Linked DNA regions of Bombyx mori. The protein of the gene in region 5 interacts with the protein of the main gene of each other region in a pairwise test. Links are inferred from orthologs where the notes say so. Each region holds a gene or a part of one and is shown on either strand. Other genes may lie near its edges. The genes, in order: spectrin beta chain, TRAF3-interacting protein 1, pre-mRNA-splicing factor syf1 homolog, protein crooked neck and cell division cycle 5-like protein.

Region 1 (3,516 bases), on a different chromosome or scaffold from region 5:
TCATCTAATGGCACTGTGTAAACTTAAAAACCGCACTCTCATATCGCGGTTTTGTTGAACGTACTAAAATTAATTAAAATTTATAAAAAAAAATTAAAAATGAGTATTATTACTATAACTATCACAAAAGCAAACTTTATACCAAAAAAAGGTATTTTATTTTCGTTTTTGTGAATAATTAACCGTAAAAACCTAGAATAAACGTTAGGATAAAAAACGATATTTTTTTTGTAGAGTTGTGTAATTCGTAATACAATAACTATAAAGCATAGTCGTGACGGCCACGGTCCCCAGGCGCAGGAGCTGAGCCCGGAGGACGCCAACAGCGGCGAGGTGCGCGAGCGGCTGGCGGCCATCGACGCGCGGCACGGCGAGCTGGCCGAGCTGGCGCGCCTCCGCAAGCAGCGCCTGCTGGACGCGCTGTCGCTGTTCAAGCTGCTCGCCGAGGCCGACGCCGCCGACCAGTGGATCGCGGAGAAGCACCGCATGCTCGACACCATGCTGCCGCCCAGCGACATCGACGACGTCGAGATCATGAAGCACAGGTACGCTCCTTCATTATAAAGCTGAAGAGTTTTTTTTTGAACACGCTAATCTCAGGAACTACTGGTCCAATTTAAATTCTTTCAGTGTTAGATAGCCCATTTATTGAGGAAGGCTATATATATAGGCTATATAACATCACGCTAAGACCAATACAAGCGGAGCACCAATAAAGAATGTCTCAAAATCGGGATTATTTTTCCTTTTTGAGAGCTTCCGCTGCGTGCGCTGCAGAAACAATAAAAGTTTCGCTAAAATAATGTATGACAATTGTTCCCCTTTAAAAGATCTAAAAAAAAGTCCGCGACAGCATGTCTTATATATTAAGGTTGGCTGGCTTACTATAACGTTTTTTATGCTAACCAAATGTATTCTAAAATAAAGCATTATTTGTGAGCTATTCCACGCGAAGCCACGGGCAAAAGCTAGTAGAAAATATTTTGTTAAGTTAATTAAAGTTACATCAAAATGTGTAGCTAAATAAATAATAAAAATATATATAATCATTTACATAGCTACATACTGGCTAGAAATACGAAATCTAATAGTAGTAGCATACCAGTAGATGTCGACCAATCTCGTCTTCAGAAGTAAAACATTAGCGTAGTAGACAGTATTGTGTCGCTAACTGCGGTCTGTTTTCAGATACGACGGCTTCGACAAGGAGATGAACGCGAACGCGTCCCGCGTGGCCGTCGTGAACCAGCTGGCGCGGCAGCTCGTGCACGTGGAGCACCCGCAGGCGCCGCGCATCCAGGACCGCCAGCACCAGCTCAACCACGCCTGGAGCGCGCTCCGGGAGAAGGTACGCACCGCACGTAACGACCTCGCTAGGACTGCCATCTACAGGGTTCTGCGAGAATTGCTGTTTAGATCCATGTCTAAATATTATTAGAGATCACTGGTGGTAGGACCTCTTGGAAGTCCGCACGGGTAGGTACCACCACCCTGCCTATTTCCGCCGTGAAGCAGTAATTCGTTTCGGTTCGAAGGGTGCGGTAGCCATTGTAACTATACTGAGACCTTAGAACTTATATCTCGAGGTGGGTGGCGCTTTTACGTTGCAGATGTGTATGGGCTCTAGTAACCACTTAACACCAGGTGGGCTGTGAGCTCGTCTATCCATCTAAGCAGTAAAAAAAATATAAAAAAAATTTCAGACAGTTCAACAAAGTAGCTTCGAATTAACTAAAAACAAAAAAAAAAGATGTGTGGTGTCGTGGGACACCGGACAGGAACAAGGTTCCTTATTATAAAAATATTAATTTTAAGTTCTATTAGAGGTATAATAAAGAAAATAAAACTGGAGGTTTCGCAACAACCCACGGTCATTCGGTAACGTGCGAATTTATTGTGGTACACTTCATTCACGGTTGCTTGCATAAGAGTTAGTGTATTGCGCAAACGAACACTCTGAGATCGTGGTCAATGAATGATATTATAAAAAAATATGCTATTTTTGTACATTATTGCAAAGTTAAGTCGTACACTGTGTGCATTACTAATAATAATCTTACGTTACGGACGTTTTTTCCCGGTTAGGGTACCCCTCCGCATCGTCCCATAAGGAACATCGTTCCCAAAAAAATTAAATTTATATTTATTCCAATCCTTAGGCTGAAGCGAAGAAGGATGAGCTTAAGTCCGCTCAAGGTGTGCAGACATTCCACATCGAATGTCGCGAGACCGTCTCGTGGATCGAGGACAAGAAACGCATACTGCAGCAAACCGACGACCTCGAGATGGATCTTAACGGTGAGTACAATCATATCAGATGCTTTTAGAAATTTCAAACAGATTTCGCTTAGTTTTCAAACCGGTAATTTGACTTTCATCAAGGCTGTTTTATATTTTTTTAGTCTTAGATAGTTAAATTAAGATAAGTTAAGTGAACTACGATTGAAAATGATGCTATAGTAATGATATCTCGAGGTTTGTGTGCTGTCCTTGTTTCTTTATTGAAAAACAAAAAAATACAAATTGAATCTTACTTGTGCTCGCTTTTGTAACTTAGATTTTTATAGAAAATCAATACCTAAAATTGCAGGAGAACATTAAAACATACTCATACTCAATTCCCATTGAATAGTTAAAATACTTATCAGAAATTAAGACGATTTCAGTAATTTTTTCTAAAACGTTTTCTATTTAAATACACTCACTAAGGCTATTATTGGCTTCAATTAGTAGTATACCAGCTAGGTATTTGCACCAGATGCAGTCACCAAAATCAATGTTAATGATTAAACTCCCACTGCAGGGTAGTACGTATCCACTGTTAATAAATTGACCGTCCAAACAAGTGTCCGTTAAGGAGTATTTCTGAAAACTTTATCTACCAATAACATTTGATTAGTATGTTAACCGCCCACATATCGTAATTTAGTTGCTTATTAATTTCATGTAAATGACCGTAAACAATTACACTAAAGCTTAGCTGATTTCATATTACCATTGTAAAATGTACCATATGTTTCTAGGCGTGATGACTCTCCAACGTCGTTTGTCCGGAATGGAGCGCGACTTGGCCGCCATACAGGCTCGCATCTCGTCCCTGGAGAGCGAGGCCAGCGCCATCGAGAACGAACATCCCGAGGAGGCACAACTCATTCGGGAACGCGTCGAACAGATCACTCAGAACTGGGAGCAACTCACTCACATGGTCAGTAATTATACACACAACACTAAATGGCTTCGTGCAGTTTGGTAGAAATCACCACAGATGTTACTGATATATGATATTATGCTTTACGTGGAAACGTCGTGTGAATAAACACACGACAGAAAAGGTCGCAAGACAATACAAATGTTGTGCTTAAAGTAATTATCATTGGGTCCCTGACTCTCATGTTGAGTAGCAGAGGGATATGACATGGGTTCCAGTGACCGATGAACTTAATATTCCTAGCAGTTGATCTACATTCCCCTCCCCGAAAGATTTATCTATAACCTCATATCTACATATACATTCTC
Region 2 (4,067 bases), on a different chromosome or scaffold from region 5:
GCAAATCGTGTTTACAGAACAATAGTTTATTTAGTTTACAAAACGAAACTACATAAACAATCAAGAAGTTAGTGGGTATACACTTTGATATTACTTTCACTCAGGCGCTTTGAGAAAATTGTATAGCTTCACACAATTTGGTCTTCAAGTAAACTTTAGACAGAACAGAGCATCAGGCGCCACGTCTGCATATTAAATTTACATTCAGTCTTGCCAATGTAGTGTAGATCTAAGGAAAAGCATATCGAGCCACAATTTTAAACGATTAATTAAGACATAAATAAGTCTTGTTAAAATATTTATTTTGTAATAAATTGATTATTTTGATGCAATTTAAAAGAATTATTGATAAAATTATAGACCTACAAATTGTACACAGACAATAAATAAACATTAGTAATTGTGCTGATTTGTGCTTACGTAGGATAATCTATGATACGGTAAGTCTGCTTTTTTTTTTCAATATGAAAATTAAATGAGCTTCTTGACATGATATGGCGTATGTTGAGTTCAAATTAAAATTATGTGGATTTTTTTTCGAAAGTGGGAAAGGTGTATTGTAAATTACCAACTTGGGATATGCGTACCTCTGGGGTGTTCCGAATCCCATTGGGGGTACGTGAAAATTATATTGGTAATGGCCGTAAATACTGAGAAGTTTAAGTAGTTAACTTAAAAAAATTAAAAATATGATGATAATGTTGTTTTGTCTACAACATATAGTTTTAAATGAACTTTATTCTAATAACTATTTAATAAAAACGACCGATAAACCAGAAATGAGACATTTTTTAAGTATGGAGTTATCAGGATTTAATCGAAGAGAAATGAGACACATTAGGTATGGAGTTATCAAGGTTGGAGAACTCAAAAAAAGTTTAAGGGGTATGGGAATGAAAAATGTTTGGAAAGCACTGCTTTAGATCACCGTGGCGGGCACCGTGGATTTTCATAGCAGCAAAAATCAATCCTTCTTTTTGAAAGTACGTAATAAAAACAAGATCGCTGTTGCGCAAATTACTTTAGATTGCCAATTTGAAAGCTCCGTAAATCCTTGTATTTTACTGAGTGTTCATTTAATGCCATTCCATCCCATCTCATTGGTTTTAAATATGTTTTATTCTTTTTCACTTTTCATTCAAACGATATGGGTTTTGCCTGGAATTTTTTACAATTGTCATTAAAGCTATCTTGAAAATGGATACCGGCTGTATGGGCATATATCCCGTTCTTTGACCAACAAAACATTTTTGGGTTCTAAGCCGTTTCCATGGGAACGTACAGTGTACACAAAATTAAAAATACCACGACTCCTGACAACCTTTATGAAACCTATGTTTCTTGTTAAATTATTGTAATCAACAATTTTTTGTGTCGTTAAGAATAGGTATATGGTTATTTGATATTTATTGCTTCATGTTTACTTTGTAATATGTGCAATGGAAAAAGAAATAGATCCACAGATCATAAAAGAAACTCAAACATCTCTCGGAAAATATGTGAAGAGGCCGCCTTTAAGTGAAAAATTACTGAAGAAGCCTCCCTTTAGATTTCTACATGATATTATTACTAGCGTGAGTGCATATATTTTTCAAAGCACTTTAAAAACACACTTAGAAAATTCAAAATAGCAATGACTTCAAAAATGCACTTTTCCAGTGACGTATGATAAGATTCAGCGCCCTGAGCCGATAAGGTTTAACGCCTTAATAAAATAAACGAAAAAAATATTTTTTTTAATACGAAATTAAATCGTGCTTTATTGTTTGTGTGTAAAGAATAATCATAAAGAATGAAAATATGAAAATGGCCAAGTAAAGAAAAAGCAAAACTGAGCGCGTAATGATGCGGTTTGCGTCTATCCTAACAGGAGCCTTTTTAGTTTTAGGGTATCTACCCTAGAACCCTAGAGGCGTATTTACGCTGTGTAATTCCACTGACGAGACCTGTTACAGAAAAATGACCAATCTGAACAGAAATTAAATAAAGCAACACCATATCTATCTATACTTTATTTTTTTATATTAAAAAGCTGAAGAGTTTGTTTGTTTGGTTGAACTCGCTAATCTCAGGAACGACTGGTCCGATTTGAAAATTTCTTTCAGTGTATATAGGCTATTTAACATCACACTAAGACCAATACGAGCGGAGCACTAATAAATAATGTTTCAAAATCGGGTTTATTTCCTTTTGGGAGCCTCCGCTGCGTGCGCTGCGGAAACGGTTTAAGTGTCGCTAAAATAAAATATGACAAAAAAATCCCCTTTAAAAGTTTTAAAAAAAACTCCGCGACGGCATATATTGGCTCACTAAAACCTTTTTTAAACTAACCAAATTTGTTCTAAAATAAAGCATTATTTGTGACGGTGTTTTTATAAAGATGATATTACTTAATACTTATCCAAAGAAATACGTTATTCATTACAAGCATTTAATTTAAAAGAAATTGGCCCTTTACATAATTTGATTTCAATGAGTATCCTAGAAGATATCGCAGTTTTAAAATAACATTAGCAAAATGCATAAGAAAAATAATGATCAAGCACGTAATAATGGTGTAGGTAGAAGGCGCCGCCGCCGCGCCGGTGCGCGGCGACATAAAATAAGAACAAAAAAGAAGTACCCAAATCATTTCAAGATAGGCTGAAAATTGTAGATTTTTTCGATTTCTCCAGGATCCCATCATCAGATCCTGATCCTGATGATTACTTACAGGACCATTCGGGAAGTCTAGCGTTTCGAACAAAAAAAAAGAATTATCAGAATCAGTTCAAGCATTCTCGAGATATCGGTGAACAACATAGATAAAAATATGGTGGTCGAATTGATAACCTCCTCTTTTGAAGTCGGTTAAAAAGCGTGACTTTGGTCCCTTAAATAGCTCCTTAACATTCTTTATTAAATAATATTTACACCTTCTATGAAGTCCCGGGTAAAATTTAGCGTTATCCCAAAGTTAATTAAAGTCTAAGTAAAATAGTCTGATATTACTTACAAAATGGCTTAAGTAGCTAACATGTCCTGGTAACAAATTTTTTATTACCATTGTATTCACTGCCTGATCTGAGCTGATGTTAATCTGTTACCAAAGTCCATAGACATCGAGACCTATGTAAGTCTAAGTTTTTACTAATCATTATTTTCTCTAATGCTTTTTATTATTAATTCTAGGTTTTAAAAACAACTGGATTTTTCGAAGGTTTATTTGAAAAGGACGAGTTAACTTCTGAGAATGTTAAAGATAGAGAGAGTAAAATACAGTTTTTAAATAAAGTCATTTCAGTTATACGTAAGTTGATTTTAGATGTATAGATGGATGAACGTGCTCACAGCTCGCCTGGGGTTCTAATATCGGAGTCCATAGACTTCAAAAAGTGAATACCTACCTTTACTAGGGTCTCTATTTCAATTGGATAGTAGTTCTGCAAATTAGTTTTATGTAAAATTTTAAAGCTAAAATAGGTGACCGAGCTCACTGCATACCCGTGGTTATCGGAGTTCATACACATCAACAACGGAAATGGCAGCACCCACCTTGAGACATGAGTTATAAATCTTAGTTCTATAAGTTCCATAGCACGATGGCTACTCTACTCTGTCTTAATGTATTAGACAGGCAATATTAAGTTATGAGAATATTGTAAGGTTCAAATAACCGTATCAGATACCGTTTTTTTTCTATCTATTAATGTAATAACTACCGCTGTCTTGCCCATATTCTTTTCGAAACTTTCGCAGCTACTATAATATAATATATATTAGATTAATACGTTGTGTTCCCGAACTCACTCACATATTAACACAATTAAGTATGTATTTAAAAAAACTTACAAGTATTCTTAATTTAGTAAATTTATATACAGATTATACAACAGGAAAACCTATCAATATTAAGCCTTCAAAGATAGTAGCAGGTCAAGAGGCAGAGAAAACGAATGAACTCTTACAATGTTTGGCACAAGCTCTAGACAACAATTTATCGTCAGTAGAAGCAGTGAAAAAATATAAAGAAAATGCATCACAAAATACTGTGCTTATAAAAGAAACGAGATCTAAAGAATCGATTC
Region 3 (4,291 bases), on a different chromosome or scaffold from region 5:
CGAAGAACTAGAGCTTCTAGATGAAGACGTACTGGACACGACTTTTTTTTTATCTTTTCGCATGTCTTTGTTTGAATCCATTTTCATCTGTAATTCTAGTTCACGCTGCAACTGCTGTCTTCGTTTTTCGAGGACATCTGTGTCTGCATACTCTAAGTCATTTTGGTCCCAGTTATCGATTTCTCCTTCGGGGCTTTGACCTGACCGCACTATAACAGTAGAATGCAATCTAGTCTTCCCATCATCCTTCACTAAACGTTTCTGATCATTGTCTTTATGAGCTGCGCGTTGTTTAGAAGGACTGATAAGAGTATGCGTAGAAGCAAATTTACAACTTTTGCCGTAAGCACAGCTGCCGTGTTGGGCCCACTGTCTACAATGTTCAGTTGTTTTTTTAGCACTTGATGATTTCTTAGTACCGAGCCGATCAAACACACTAGGTCTAATAGAGAGATCTTTCGTTTTCGGCAATTCAACAGATATTTTTCTTTTTCCTTGTTTTGACATTATAGTAGAAATACATTTGTATCACATTAAACTAAAAAAAAAGAACTAAAAAATAATCTTCTCTAACCGGCACGGTGAAGTCAAGTAAATTAAAGGTTTTATATTTTTTACAAAAAGGAATTGTACAAACATTTATTTATGGTCTATTATCTATGACAAACGCTATTATTTGGAGCGATTTTTTTCTACTAGTTTCTCTTAGTAGGCAAGCGGAATGTAGTTCTCGTTACATAAATTAATATTTACTTAAATCTTTGTTTAACAACACGTTTGCATGCAGTACGGCAATGGATGGCCATAATTCCTAACATAGCTTACAAGTTACAATCAGCTTACATCTCAAACTCAAATAATAAGCGTATTATCTATGATAGCTTACAAGGCCCAAGGCAAAAGCAGAAGCGCTTTTACACGTGGAGTAGATAGGTAGGGCTCACTAAATTTGGCCCCTCGTTTTTTGATTTTTGGATTTTTTTTATTTTTAATTATTTGTTCGTCGTTTGTTCGTTAATTTTCGAATGTAAAAATTGTTTGTTCGTCTTTTAATTATTTATAATTAATTAAACAAATGATCTCCCTTAAGTTGGGCCCCCCCTTACTAGATATCTTTATTTTCATCGCTCAGATTAATTAATTTTGATCAGTTACATTATTAAGCCGCACAAACTAATACTTAAATTAGTTATCTCACAAGTGTGTATAATCTATAGATACTTAAAATTTATGGTATAATCGGATCTATTCCGTTCTTTAATCTATAATCGGATTTTTGGCAGGAACGCGAGGAGTGAAATTGTGTGATTTGTTTTATTTTGTTTACTTAGTGTTTCTTCAAGTTTAAATGTGTAATAACGGTGGTTTATTAACTGTTTAATATCTGTGAAAGTGCACAAAAGTGGGAAAATGAAACAAAGCCACTGGACGTAACTTTTCGGGATTCTCCAAAAAGTCCACTGAATCAAAATTCTCAGTAAATGACCACCATTTTACTTAGATTATATTTCATCTCACATCATCTCATCTCATTTCATTTCACTCCATATTATGATTTTTCATAAAAATTAAAATATAAATTAAAATAAAACATGACCTAAAGGTCTTAGTTACCAGGTCATAAAATCTCTTAAAAAAATAAGGTACAATCTATGATATTGTGTGTCATAGATTAAACACTGAAGTGTGTTCCATAGATTATACACATAATATATTTGAGTGTGTTCTAAAGAAATAGAATTAAGCTAATTATTCAATTACTCAACTGTTTGAATTGAATTTATAGTACCTACGGTACATATTCGAAAGCTTTAGAATGCCTCTTCTAGACGGAAAAGAAATCGACATATTCTTCGTAAGTTCAAAAATATTTTTATAATTTACAATGCTTAGTGTGCATACATATTTACTTTTGCCGACATATGAAAATACAATCAACAAATATTTTTTTCAACCCAAATTCAATTAACAAAGAAACCTTAATATATCAACTGCTTTAAAAAATCTAACCAAAGCTTTTGTGGTTTTCTGGTACGTTGATATCAAACATTATTATCATATTAATTCAAATAAAATTGTTATTGTTACAGAGTGAAGAAGATCTTCCGTATGAAGAGGAAATCCTAAGAAATCCATTTTCTGTCAAACATTGGCTTAGGTACATTGAACACAAGAAAACTGCACCCAAACATGAAATTAATATGATATATGAACGAGCTTTAAAAGAATTACCAGGATCTTTTAAACTTTGGTATAACTATCTTAAATTAAGAAGAAAACAAATAAGAGGTCGCTGTATAGCTGACCCATGCTATGAAGATGTAAACAATTGCTTTGAAAGGTCTTTAGTATTTATGCACAAAATGCCTAGAATATGGATGGATTACTGTTCATTCTTAACAGATCAGTATAAAATAACTACAACAAGGAAAGCGTTTGACAGTGCTCTTAGAGCTTTACCAATAACTCAACATCATAGGATATGGCCTCTTTACTTAAATTTCTTGAAGAAACACAATATACCCGAAACAGCTGTAAGAGTGTTTCGTAGGTATCTTAAATTATGTCCTGAAGATACTGAAGAGTATATTGACTACTTAACTTCAATAGATAAATTAGATGAAGCTGCAGTCAAATTGGCTCAACTAGTTAATAATGAGAATTTTCAATCAAAACATGGAAAGTCAAATCATCAACTTTGGAATGAATTATGTGAATTGATATCAAAGAATCCTGATCAAATTCATTCTCTGAATGTCGACGCTATTATCAGAGGGGGATTAAGACGTTACACTGATCAGCTAGGCCACCTGTGGAACTCTCTTGCAGACTATTATGTTCGAAGTGGTCTTTTTGAAAGAGCCAGAGACATTTATGAAGAAGCTATACAAACTGTGACTACAGTGAGGGATTTTACACAAATATTTGATGCTTATGCACAATTTGAGGAATTAAGTCTTAGTAAAAAAATGGAAGAAGTTGCCAAGAAAACTAATCCAAGTGAAGATGATGATATTGATTTAGAATTGAGACTTGCCAGATTTGAGTATCTTATGGAAAGAAGGCTGTTACTGCTTAATTCAGTTCTACTTAGACAAAATCCACATAATGTGGCTGAATGGCATAAAAGAGTCAAATTATATGAAGGTAAACCCCATGAAATAATAGATACATATACTGAAGCAGTGCAAACTGTAGACCCTAAATTAGCTGTTGGTAAACTTTTCACACTGTGGGTTGGATTTGCAAAATTTTATGAAAACAATGACCAAATTGAAGATGCCAGATTAATTTTTGAAAAAGCTACACAGGTAGCATATGTTAAAGTAGACGATTTAGCTTCAGTTTGGTGTGAATGGGCTGAAATGGAAATCAGACATGAAAATTATGAGCAAGCCCTAAAATTAATGCAAAGAGCCACTGTTTTACCAAGCAGAAAAGTAGCATATCATGATGATTCTGAAACTGTGCAAATGAGGTTGTATAAATCACTAAAGGTTTGGTCCATGTATGCTGACTTAGAAGAGAGTTTTGGTACATTCAAATCTTGCAAAGCTGTGTATGATCATATTATAGATTTAAAAATTGCTACTCCACAAATTATTATCAATTATGGATTATTTTTAGAAGAGCATAATTACTTTGAAGAAGCTTTTAGAGCATATGAAAAGGGTATTGCCTTATTCAAGTGGCCTAATGTGTATGATATTTGGAATACATATCTAACAAAATTTTTAAAAAGATATGGTGGTTCAAAACTTGAAAGAGCAAGAGATTTATTTGAGCAATGTCTTGAGCATTGTCCCAATGAATTTGCAAAGTCTATTTTCTTATTATATGCAAAATTGGAAGAAGAGCATGGTTTAGCTAGACATGCAATGTCTGTATATGAGAGAGCTACTACTGCCGTTCTACCTGAAGAAATGTTTGAAATGTTCAATATTTATATTAAAAAAGCTGCTGAAATTTATGGAGTTCCTAAAACACGACAGATTTATGAAAAGGCTATTGAGACTCTTCCTGAAGAGAAGGCTAGGGAAATGTGTGTTCGCTTCTCAGAAATGGAAACTCGCCTAGGTGAAATTGATAGAGCTCGGGCAATATATGCACACTGTAGTCAAATGTGTGATCCTAGAATTACAGCTGATTTTTGGAACACTTGGAAAGAATTTGAAGTTAGGCATGGTAATGAAGATACAATGAGAGAAATGTTAAGAATTAAAAGAAGTGTGCAAGCCACATATAATACACAGGTGAATATGATGTCTGCACAAATGTTGAGTTCTGCAGC
Region 4 (4,082 bases), on a different chromosome or scaffold from region 5:
ATACATGAGCCATATTTTTGAGAAAGTAAATATCTTATGAGGAATTAATTCTAAACAGGTTCTGTAAACTTGTCTTGTTCGATCTAAATCTTCTGCTTCTAACTCTTCATATAAAGCGTAATTAATCCACAAGTAAATATAACGCCTCCAAAATTGTTTGTCCTTTGAAGGAGGGATATTTGCAATTGCTCTCTCATATGTGTCTCTTATGTCATCTAAATTACCCTCATTCTCCACTAATCTAATATAATCAAACCATGCATCATAATTTGTGGGATTCTCTATAACTTCCTGTTCATACATATACTTTCTCTTATTTACTATTACATCCTCAATGCCAGATCTATCACCATACTTCTTTTCATGAATAGTATAAGCTTTATAAAGTTCTTTATTTCTGTCTTTTGGGACATGATCCAGAGCATATTTGTAAATCACTCTTGCTCTGTCATGTTCTTTTTGATTTTCTTCAAATTTGGCAAACGCTATAAACAGTCTTTCATCTAATTCTTCATCACCAAAGAATTCAACAGCTCTCTCAAAAACTGTCCTAGAGCCATTTATGAAACCATGGTTTTCTTCAAATTTTGCATATTTTATCCAATTCTTTACATCTGGATGCACCATAACAAACTGTTCATAGATTTGTCTAGCCCGTTCAAGTTCTTTGTACCTCAATTCAAAGTTTATGTATGTTTGCCAAGCTTGCTCATCTGGATGCCATTCCATCCAACGTTCAAATACCTGTGAAACAAAAGTAAATTAGAAACCTTGTTTCAGTTACAGTCAGTGACTATTATCATTATACGAGAAATTGTACATGTATAAAAAATATCACCTGTCTTGCTCCAGCTACATTTTCCAACATTTCCTCCATGTAAGTATATTTGTACCAAAACTGAGATACTCTTGGCAGAATTGTAACAGCTCTGTCCCATAGATTACGGGCATGGTTTACCTGTCTGTTCCTCATTTCCATTTCAGTATACTTCAGCCTAAAACCCATGATACGCTGAGAATATTTTGGTGTGGTATAACAGCCTAAAGTACAGGTAGTTAAGGTAGTGTGGATAATTGAAGAGTGACGCAAATTTAACAGTTAAAACTGTAAGAAATTTACCAAGAAAGTCCATGACTTTTACAGATTTTTCAAAGTACAGATTGTTTTATTTGTTAAATAAGTGGCTCTTGGACTAAATAGGCATCAATTTGAGATTGAAGTCTCAATTCCTTTATAAAACAACTGTTGGACAATTCAAACCAAATGCATAACTGTTGAAATAGGCAGGATGATATATTACATGCCAGTTCACAATACATTAATAGAGTATCAATTTTGTAATGACACTTTGTTCTTATTTACTTATGAAATTTCTTCATATCGGGTATGTATTTCCTTAAATATATTGGGCTTTAGGTAGCACAAAGGCTATGAACTCTAGTATAGTTGTATTGGTCATTACAAGTATATCAAACATCTTAACATTTCGTCCACAATTGTCTACAAGTTTACTAACCAAATAAAATTGTAATGTGAACAGAGTGACATAGGAATCTTTTTTATATGTTCTATTATAAGCTGATCTTTGTATGGTAACTCTTTAAGAATTAATTTTTTTCTTCACTGTGACATGAATTTTGTTCTAAAGCCCATGTCTTGAGTGATCCAACAATATGTCCTTGTTCAAATGAGGCTTACAAAGAGTACTCAGTAGTGTGACTAACAATTACTATCAGATGAGCCAAGAATGCAAAAAAAAATTAACACCACAGATTTCTCAAACATTTTTTAAAATAGTCATATGGTTTAAACACTGGCAGTACCAAGAGCACATAAGTTAATAATTTTTCAAATAAAATTGTTAATTGTAATGATAGCTCTCACCATAAGGTAACATTTCTGTGATCCACATCCAAAGCACGCTCATATATTGAACGAGCTCTTTGGATTTGCTTTTGTGATTCTTCCCATTGTGCATATTTAAGCCAGTTCCCAATAACCTGAAAACAAAAACAAAGCATCCATTAAACTAAAATTCGATATTATTATATTATTTGTTGTTTTCTTGAAGAAATACTACTAAATAAAAGTATCCTCATCTGGTTTTCGTCAGTAATGCTCTGAGTAGAAATTGTTTAGTACCCTTCTTATTGTGGAAACAGCATGAAACCTATATTGTTCAAAGGATCGTAATGGCACGAAATCAATTAATGAAATTAATTTGGTGAACTCTATCAGCTAGTAAAACTAAGCATTGGATGGTCTTAAAACTGAGAAACAATTACATTAATAGGAAAAACAGTCATTTATACATTGTAAGCGACTAATAAATTGAATTTACTTACAAGTCTGTTCTTTCTTATGTTGTCCTCAAATGCTTTACGTTTACGATGTTGGTAGTCTCGAAGTTCCTCAGGATCAGATATTTTCTGTTTAGGTGGCGGTGGTAATATCTCAAGGTCTCGTTCTTTGGCTTCCCTAAGTAATTGTTCAGCTGTTATTTGGATTTCTGCTGGTGCTTTATTCTTCACCTAAAAATCGTGAGATCCATGTTAAAATTGGAGTAATATTATTCAACAATACCATCAAACACTTTTTTCGTACCTTTGCCACTTTCGGCATTTTTGTTGTCTTGCTGTCCATGTTAAGTTCTACGTTCTGCACAGTTTATAATTTTTTAGTTCAGTTTAACCTAAATTTAATTTGATTACATACAATAAACAGCTAAGTACAGGAAAGGAAATCTTCAGGTTTTTTTTTTATTTATTGTCAAAATGAGAAGCATAGATTATACACATTTTTAAGAGAAGTGAATACGGTAGGTAGTGGTTAAGGGTGATACCGATATATTAGCATTCACTAAGATATTCGTAATACAGCTTGTATTCGTCTATCGGTAATCCGTCGAATTCTGATATGCTAATATTCCGTATTCACTTATTCATAATAATAGCCAGCTCACATCAGTCGGGTTGTATCTATCCACAGAACACTGTTACTCCTAGCGAAATATCTATCACACGAAAATATACTGACATACGCCGTACGTGTCTCGCGGATATCTGTTTATCACATTCATATCAATGCACTGCATGCGCTAAGAGTAAGTGAGATAATCTACATGTTTATATACTGAGCAATGAAAATAACTATATTTCGCTATGAGTTTAAGGACTATTTTGTATTGCACTTTTTACATGTCAAAGATGCCAGTGGGAATTTTTAAATGCATTACTTTTTATGTTTGTACTAAAGATTCGACTCAAGACAAAATAGTGCATTTCCACATTTATTGGAATAAAATCGGTGAGCTTTATTTTCATTAAATGTTTATATGTAATAAATTATGATGACAATATATTTTTGTGGTAGTAGTTAATTATCTTCTAAGAACTTCTCAAACTATAAATAAAAGTTTGATTTTTGAATCGAAATGACTTTCTAACCAAACGGTTCATGGATTATACTATTAATATAACTGTTGTGTACCTACTAGCCACCTCAGTACCGTATCAGAGGATTTTTTCGAAATCTGGAATACTCATTTCTGAGCGACGTACCGGTCATTCGGTAGAAAAAGTAAAAAAGCTGATGTTTTTATGCACCAATAAGAAATAAATAATATTACTAACTTGTTGTTTATATTAATGTACAATGTTGACCAAATTCTGGTTTAATAATAATATTCATATTAATGTACATAATATTACTTGTAAAATATTTAGTATGAAATCAAATTCCTAGATACAGTATACTATTTATATTAATTTAATAACTAATTTATGTGTATTATCTATGATTATTAACTTATTTCACGAATACCGTACTCGGTTAACTCGTTTACCCGTTTTATCGAAGTATATTAAGATATCAGGATATATTCACGCATTAGTTAAGTTATTATAATATTACATCATGAATATATTCGTATTCGCTAATATTGACAAATATCGGTATTAACCCATCTTTAGTAGTGATATGTAGGTAGTAGGTAGATTTTTTTTTATAAATTTCTAGTGGCTTCGAAACAAAGTTTTTTAAGCCAAGTAGGTAGGTATCTATGATAAATAGCACAGATAAT
Region 5 (3,516 bases):
AGATATGAGTTCTAAGGTCTCAGTATAGTTACTTGAGATTTCAACAAGTCTTTTGCCCTTGTAGGCAATTAATTCTCTCCACAAGCCTCGTTTGAAGAAGGACATGTCATAGCGCTCGGGAAACACCGTGGAGGGAGCTCATTCCATAGCCAGCTGGTACGTGGCAAAAAAGACCTCTGGAAACGCACTGTAAATGAACGCAGCGGTTCCAGATAATATGGATAAGCTTTGCTCCGATGGCGGGAGATGTTCTGCCCTGGTGTACAAGCAGATAACCACTAGTCGCAGACCCTTCTGGCGAAGTATTTCGGCTATTTAGTTTATCACTGAAGCAAAAATCCGCGGTGGTGCAGCTAAGCCGAATGGCAGGCATATCATCTGAAGTAGACGACCCTGATAACTGATCCCGAGAAACGTCATTGATAGATGATAATAGGCCTGGCTCAAATCCAGTTTGACATTCCAATCTGTTATAAAACTTAGGAACGATGGTGGAAAAGGTGAAAAAGACTGTTTCATGTACTTGTTCAATGCCTTGAGGTTGAAAATTGTTCGATTTTTTATTGGTCTTGGGAAGTATGAAAAGAGGAAATCTGAAAGACGGTATCGGGGGTGCGGGTTCTAAAGCTCTATTGAATTAAATTCTGGATTTTGATTGACATCAAGTTATTATTAATTTCAATATTACGTTTGGTGGATCGAGTCCAGGTGTTTCGATATAGTCTTAGACATCCGCCTGAAAATGCTGTTGAGTAATTTATTTTTATTTCCTGATTTTCGTTCCACTTTGTACTTGTTCCCCCCTCCCCCCGTTTTTCTTGCTGAGGAATTATTTGGATAGCATCGCACAGAATATCTGTTTTCGGCCTCTTTAGATGTATTGGAATGTGGCCTACCTCGACATGGCTTTGCATTGGCAGTACAAGCCGAGGGTTCCGGCGATGCGGGCCGGATGCGAGTAGCAGACGGTGCCGCTTTTGTAATTTATCAATACCACCAATTTTCTGTATATATGCCAATAATAAGTTGGGGTTAAACATAATCACAAGAAGAAGATATTTTCTCTATATCTTCCCTGATATATCTATCCTTTAATTTCTTTATGAGGTATCTACGACGCTATCGTATAACCTCGGCTCGCTTATCGAAAATTATTTGAAGGATATCGTTAGAAACTTTTATAGGCGAAATCGTTACCGAATAGCGGTTTAAACTTTTCGTAAAAGGCGGAAGTATTAAGATGAACGTTCTCTGAATGTGACCAGTCGGCAAGGTTTTGTAAGGCAGCATAACGCATTCGTTCTGTGCCAAAAGAGCATTAGATAACGCAGGAAAACATTTTTTTCTCCGAATCCTGCACCGCGTTCCAAGTCGGCTAGTCAAATCTTTGCATATCTGGTTCTTTTATAGAAATGCTCAAATTTCAAAACCTACCCGCTTCTGGTGGTAACGGACGGTCTGGTGGCAGACGTAAAAACTATTCGTCGTTGTCTAATTTCGATTGGAAGTTGAAACCAGATCAGACATTATTATTATAAGATGTTGGTATTTGTAAGTGTAAAGGCGGGACCACTGGTGCACGACCAGCAATAGCATGATTCGAAGTTAAAATAATATTCATATGACTCACCCATTATTGCGACAGTAAGTCAAACCTTTTATTCAGATCTCGCGACCAGTCACTTCTTCGAAGTTTTCTTGCTGGTCCCTAGTCTTTATTTTCAGACGAACCCGAAGAAATATCCGAAGAAATTTTACTTTGAAAGGCGCGATAACCTCGTCACTCATTGTAGAGCCTTGGAGGTTTTCACGAAACGGAAGATAATCATAACACTTGTTTGAAACAAACTTTCTACTTCAAATCTCGAAAGTTGCTTATAACATTTTAAATTACTAACTTCTTAAAATATTAACGACTGCACGTGGGAAAAAACGACGCAACAATGACAAATATGGCGGCTTGTCTTTGCTTGTTGGTTCGGTTCCAGACGTTATAGAGGGCGCTGTAGATGGGACTTAGGAAACGGAAGTAGTCAAATTTAGCGACCTGCAGTGGAAATCATACGATGTACTCTCATAATGGACTTCGGACGTCAAACGGAACACATAATAACTGCTTTGTATATAAATGATAGGCAATAACCATATTCGATGCGCAAAAAAATATATATTTCTAGGTCTATTAAAATCATTTCAATCCTACAGCTAGATTCGTTAAAATTGGTTTTTTTTTCAGGTATTTCAACTTTAAATTAGTCTACTGTAAAGGTCACGCATTGTCGCTTAGTCACGTTTGCCTTTCAGGCGTCGATATCGTTTTCTCGCATTAAAACTGTATAATCTCAAAACTTACTAATTTTACTCAAAACTTACTAATTTTAAAGGTTTAACATCTGATATTTCTAATATTATCATTTTTGCAACATTTATTTTTTATTTTTTACCAGTTACATTATCTGTCTTTTAAAGTAAGATAAAATTATGTATTAATTTTGTTAATAGTAATCAAAACATAGGTAAAAAGAAAAATTAAAAAATCTAAACTACGCTCTTTTGACAGTATTTATGAGAAAAATACTGGTGATATGAAATGATTACGCATATTAACTAAATTTCGAATATTTTTGGAAATTACTTTTAATGCGAAGAGACGATATAGCGTGGGGAGGAGCTGCTGTTACAGTCGCAGGTCGCTATAAATTTTGCTTTCTATGGTAAAGTTGCCCAACACTTGTCGTTTCATTTAGTTTTATATCAAATACATGAAATAAAATTATTTTTGATATTAATTATGCTGTTATAACTTACTAAGAAAAATATTTTAATTACAGAATTCTAATGGAAGCACAGAATGTAATGGCACTAACTCATGTGGACACCCCATTGAAAGGAGGCTTGAACACTCCATTACATGAGAGTGATTTTTCTGGGGCACTACCTCAAAATCAAGTTGTGGCCACACCTAACACTGTTCTGGCTACACCATTCAGGTATTTTTGCATCAAAAGTTTAAATACTGTCCACATTGTTCAGTAGATAGATAGATATTGAAATCATTATTTTGTTTCAGATCATCTCGCAGTGAAGTGTCCACACCTGGCAGTTTTAACACTCCAGGACATGGCAATAGTCAGCTTGGGCTGACCCCAGGCTTGCGAGATAAACTTAATATCAACCCTGAAGACAGAGTGAATGGTGGTGACACTCCTCAAATTTCCCATCAACTTCAAAAACAAGCAAAAACATCAGTCAGAAACGCTTTGCAATCTCTGCCTGTTCCGAGAAATGACTATGAAATCGTGGTGCCGGAGCAAGAGGCTGGTGAAGATAAGGACGATTCGGCCGCAGTCGTTTCCGTGGAGGACCAAGCTGATGCTGATGCTAGATATGCTAAGGAACAAGAAGAAAAACGTAAGTTTTCCGTTCGTCATAACACCTTGTCTGATCTACGCAGAATGATTCTGTAATATTATAATTTGAGCCAGGCCATATGGTATGTGCACGTTGAGAAATGCT

What was found.
Region 1: the proteins of cell division cycle 5-like protein (region 5) and spectrin beta chain interact in binary tests that used the Homo sapiens proteins (3 or more experiments, as listed by UniProt). The link is inferred for Bombyx mori from reciprocal best matches to the Homo sapiens genes CDC5L and SPTBN1.
Region 2: the proteins of cell division cycle 5-like protein (region 5) and TRAF3-interacting protein 1 interact in a two-hybrid assay, tested with the Homo sapiens proteins (2 studies listed by BioGRID and IntAct). The link is inferred for Bombyx mori from reciprocal best matches to the Homo sapiens genes CDC5L and TRAF3IP1.
Region 3: the proteins of cell division cycle 5-like protein (region 5) and pre-mRNA-splicing factor syf1 homolog interact in a two-hybrid assay, tested with the Homo sapiens proteins (2 studies listed by BioGRID and IntAct, with this or other methods). The link is inferred for Bombyx mori from reciprocal best matches to the Homo sapiens genes CDC5L and XAB2.
Region 4: the proteins of cell division cycle 5-like protein (region 5) and protein crooked neck interact in a two-hybrid assay, tested with the Homo sapiens proteins (2 studies listed by IntAct). The link is inferred for Bombyx mori from reciprocal best matches to the Homo sapiens genes CDC5L and CRNKL1.

What each region holds. Positions count from the first base shown.
Region 1 is NC_085124.1:11,114,626-11,118,141, reverse strand, and holds part of spectrin beta chain, read left to right. Parts: intron 1-294; coding exon 295-545; intron 546-1,188; coding exon 1,189-1,348; intron 1,349-2,159; coding exon 2,160-2,298; intron 2,299-3,023; coding exon 3,024-3,205; intron 3,206-3,516. UniProt on the Homo sapiens protein: Fodrin, which seems to be involved in secretion, interacts with calmodulin in a calcium-dependent manner and is thus candidate for the calcium-dependent movement of the cytoskeleton at the membrane.
Region 2 is NC_085131.1:5,592,701-5,596,767, reverse strand, and holds the start of TRAF3-interacting protein 1, read left to right. Parts: upstream 1-1,256; 5' UTR 1,257-1,439; coding exon 1,440-1,574; intron 1,575-3,171; coding exon 3,172-3,289; intron 3,290-3,863; coding exon 3,864-4,067.
Region 3 is NC_085110.1:13,377,014-13,381,304, reverse strand, and holds the start of pre-mRNA-splicing factor syf1 homolog, read left to right. Parts: upstream 1-1,476; 5' UTR 1,477-1,816; coding exon 1,817-1,855; intron 1,856-2,090; coding exon 2,091-4,291. Other genes in the region: zinc finger CCCH domain-containing protein 13, read right to left, coding at 1-507. UniProt on the Homo sapiens protein: Involved in pre-mRNA splicing as component of the spliceosome. Involved in transcription-coupled repair (TCR), transcription and pre-mRNA splicing.
Region 4 is NC_085124.1:5,697,082-5,701,163, reverse strand, and holds the start of protein crooked neck, read right to left. Parts: upstream 2,808-4,082; 5' UTR 2,645-2,807; coding exon 2,606-2,644; intron 2,533-2,605; coding exon 2,347-2,532; intron 2,002-2,346; coding exon 1,886-2,001; intron 996-1,885; coding exon 839-995; intron 745-838; coding exon 1-744. UniProt on the Homo sapiens protein: Involved in pre-mRNA splicing process. As a component of the minor spliceosome, involved in the splicing of U12-type introns in pre-mRNAs.
Region 5 is NC_085115.1:11,719,771-11,723,286, forward strand, and holds part of cell division cycle 5-like protein, read left to right. Parts: intron 1-2,831; coding exon 2,832-2,990; intron 2,991-3,070; coding exon 3,071-3,411; intron 3,412-3,516.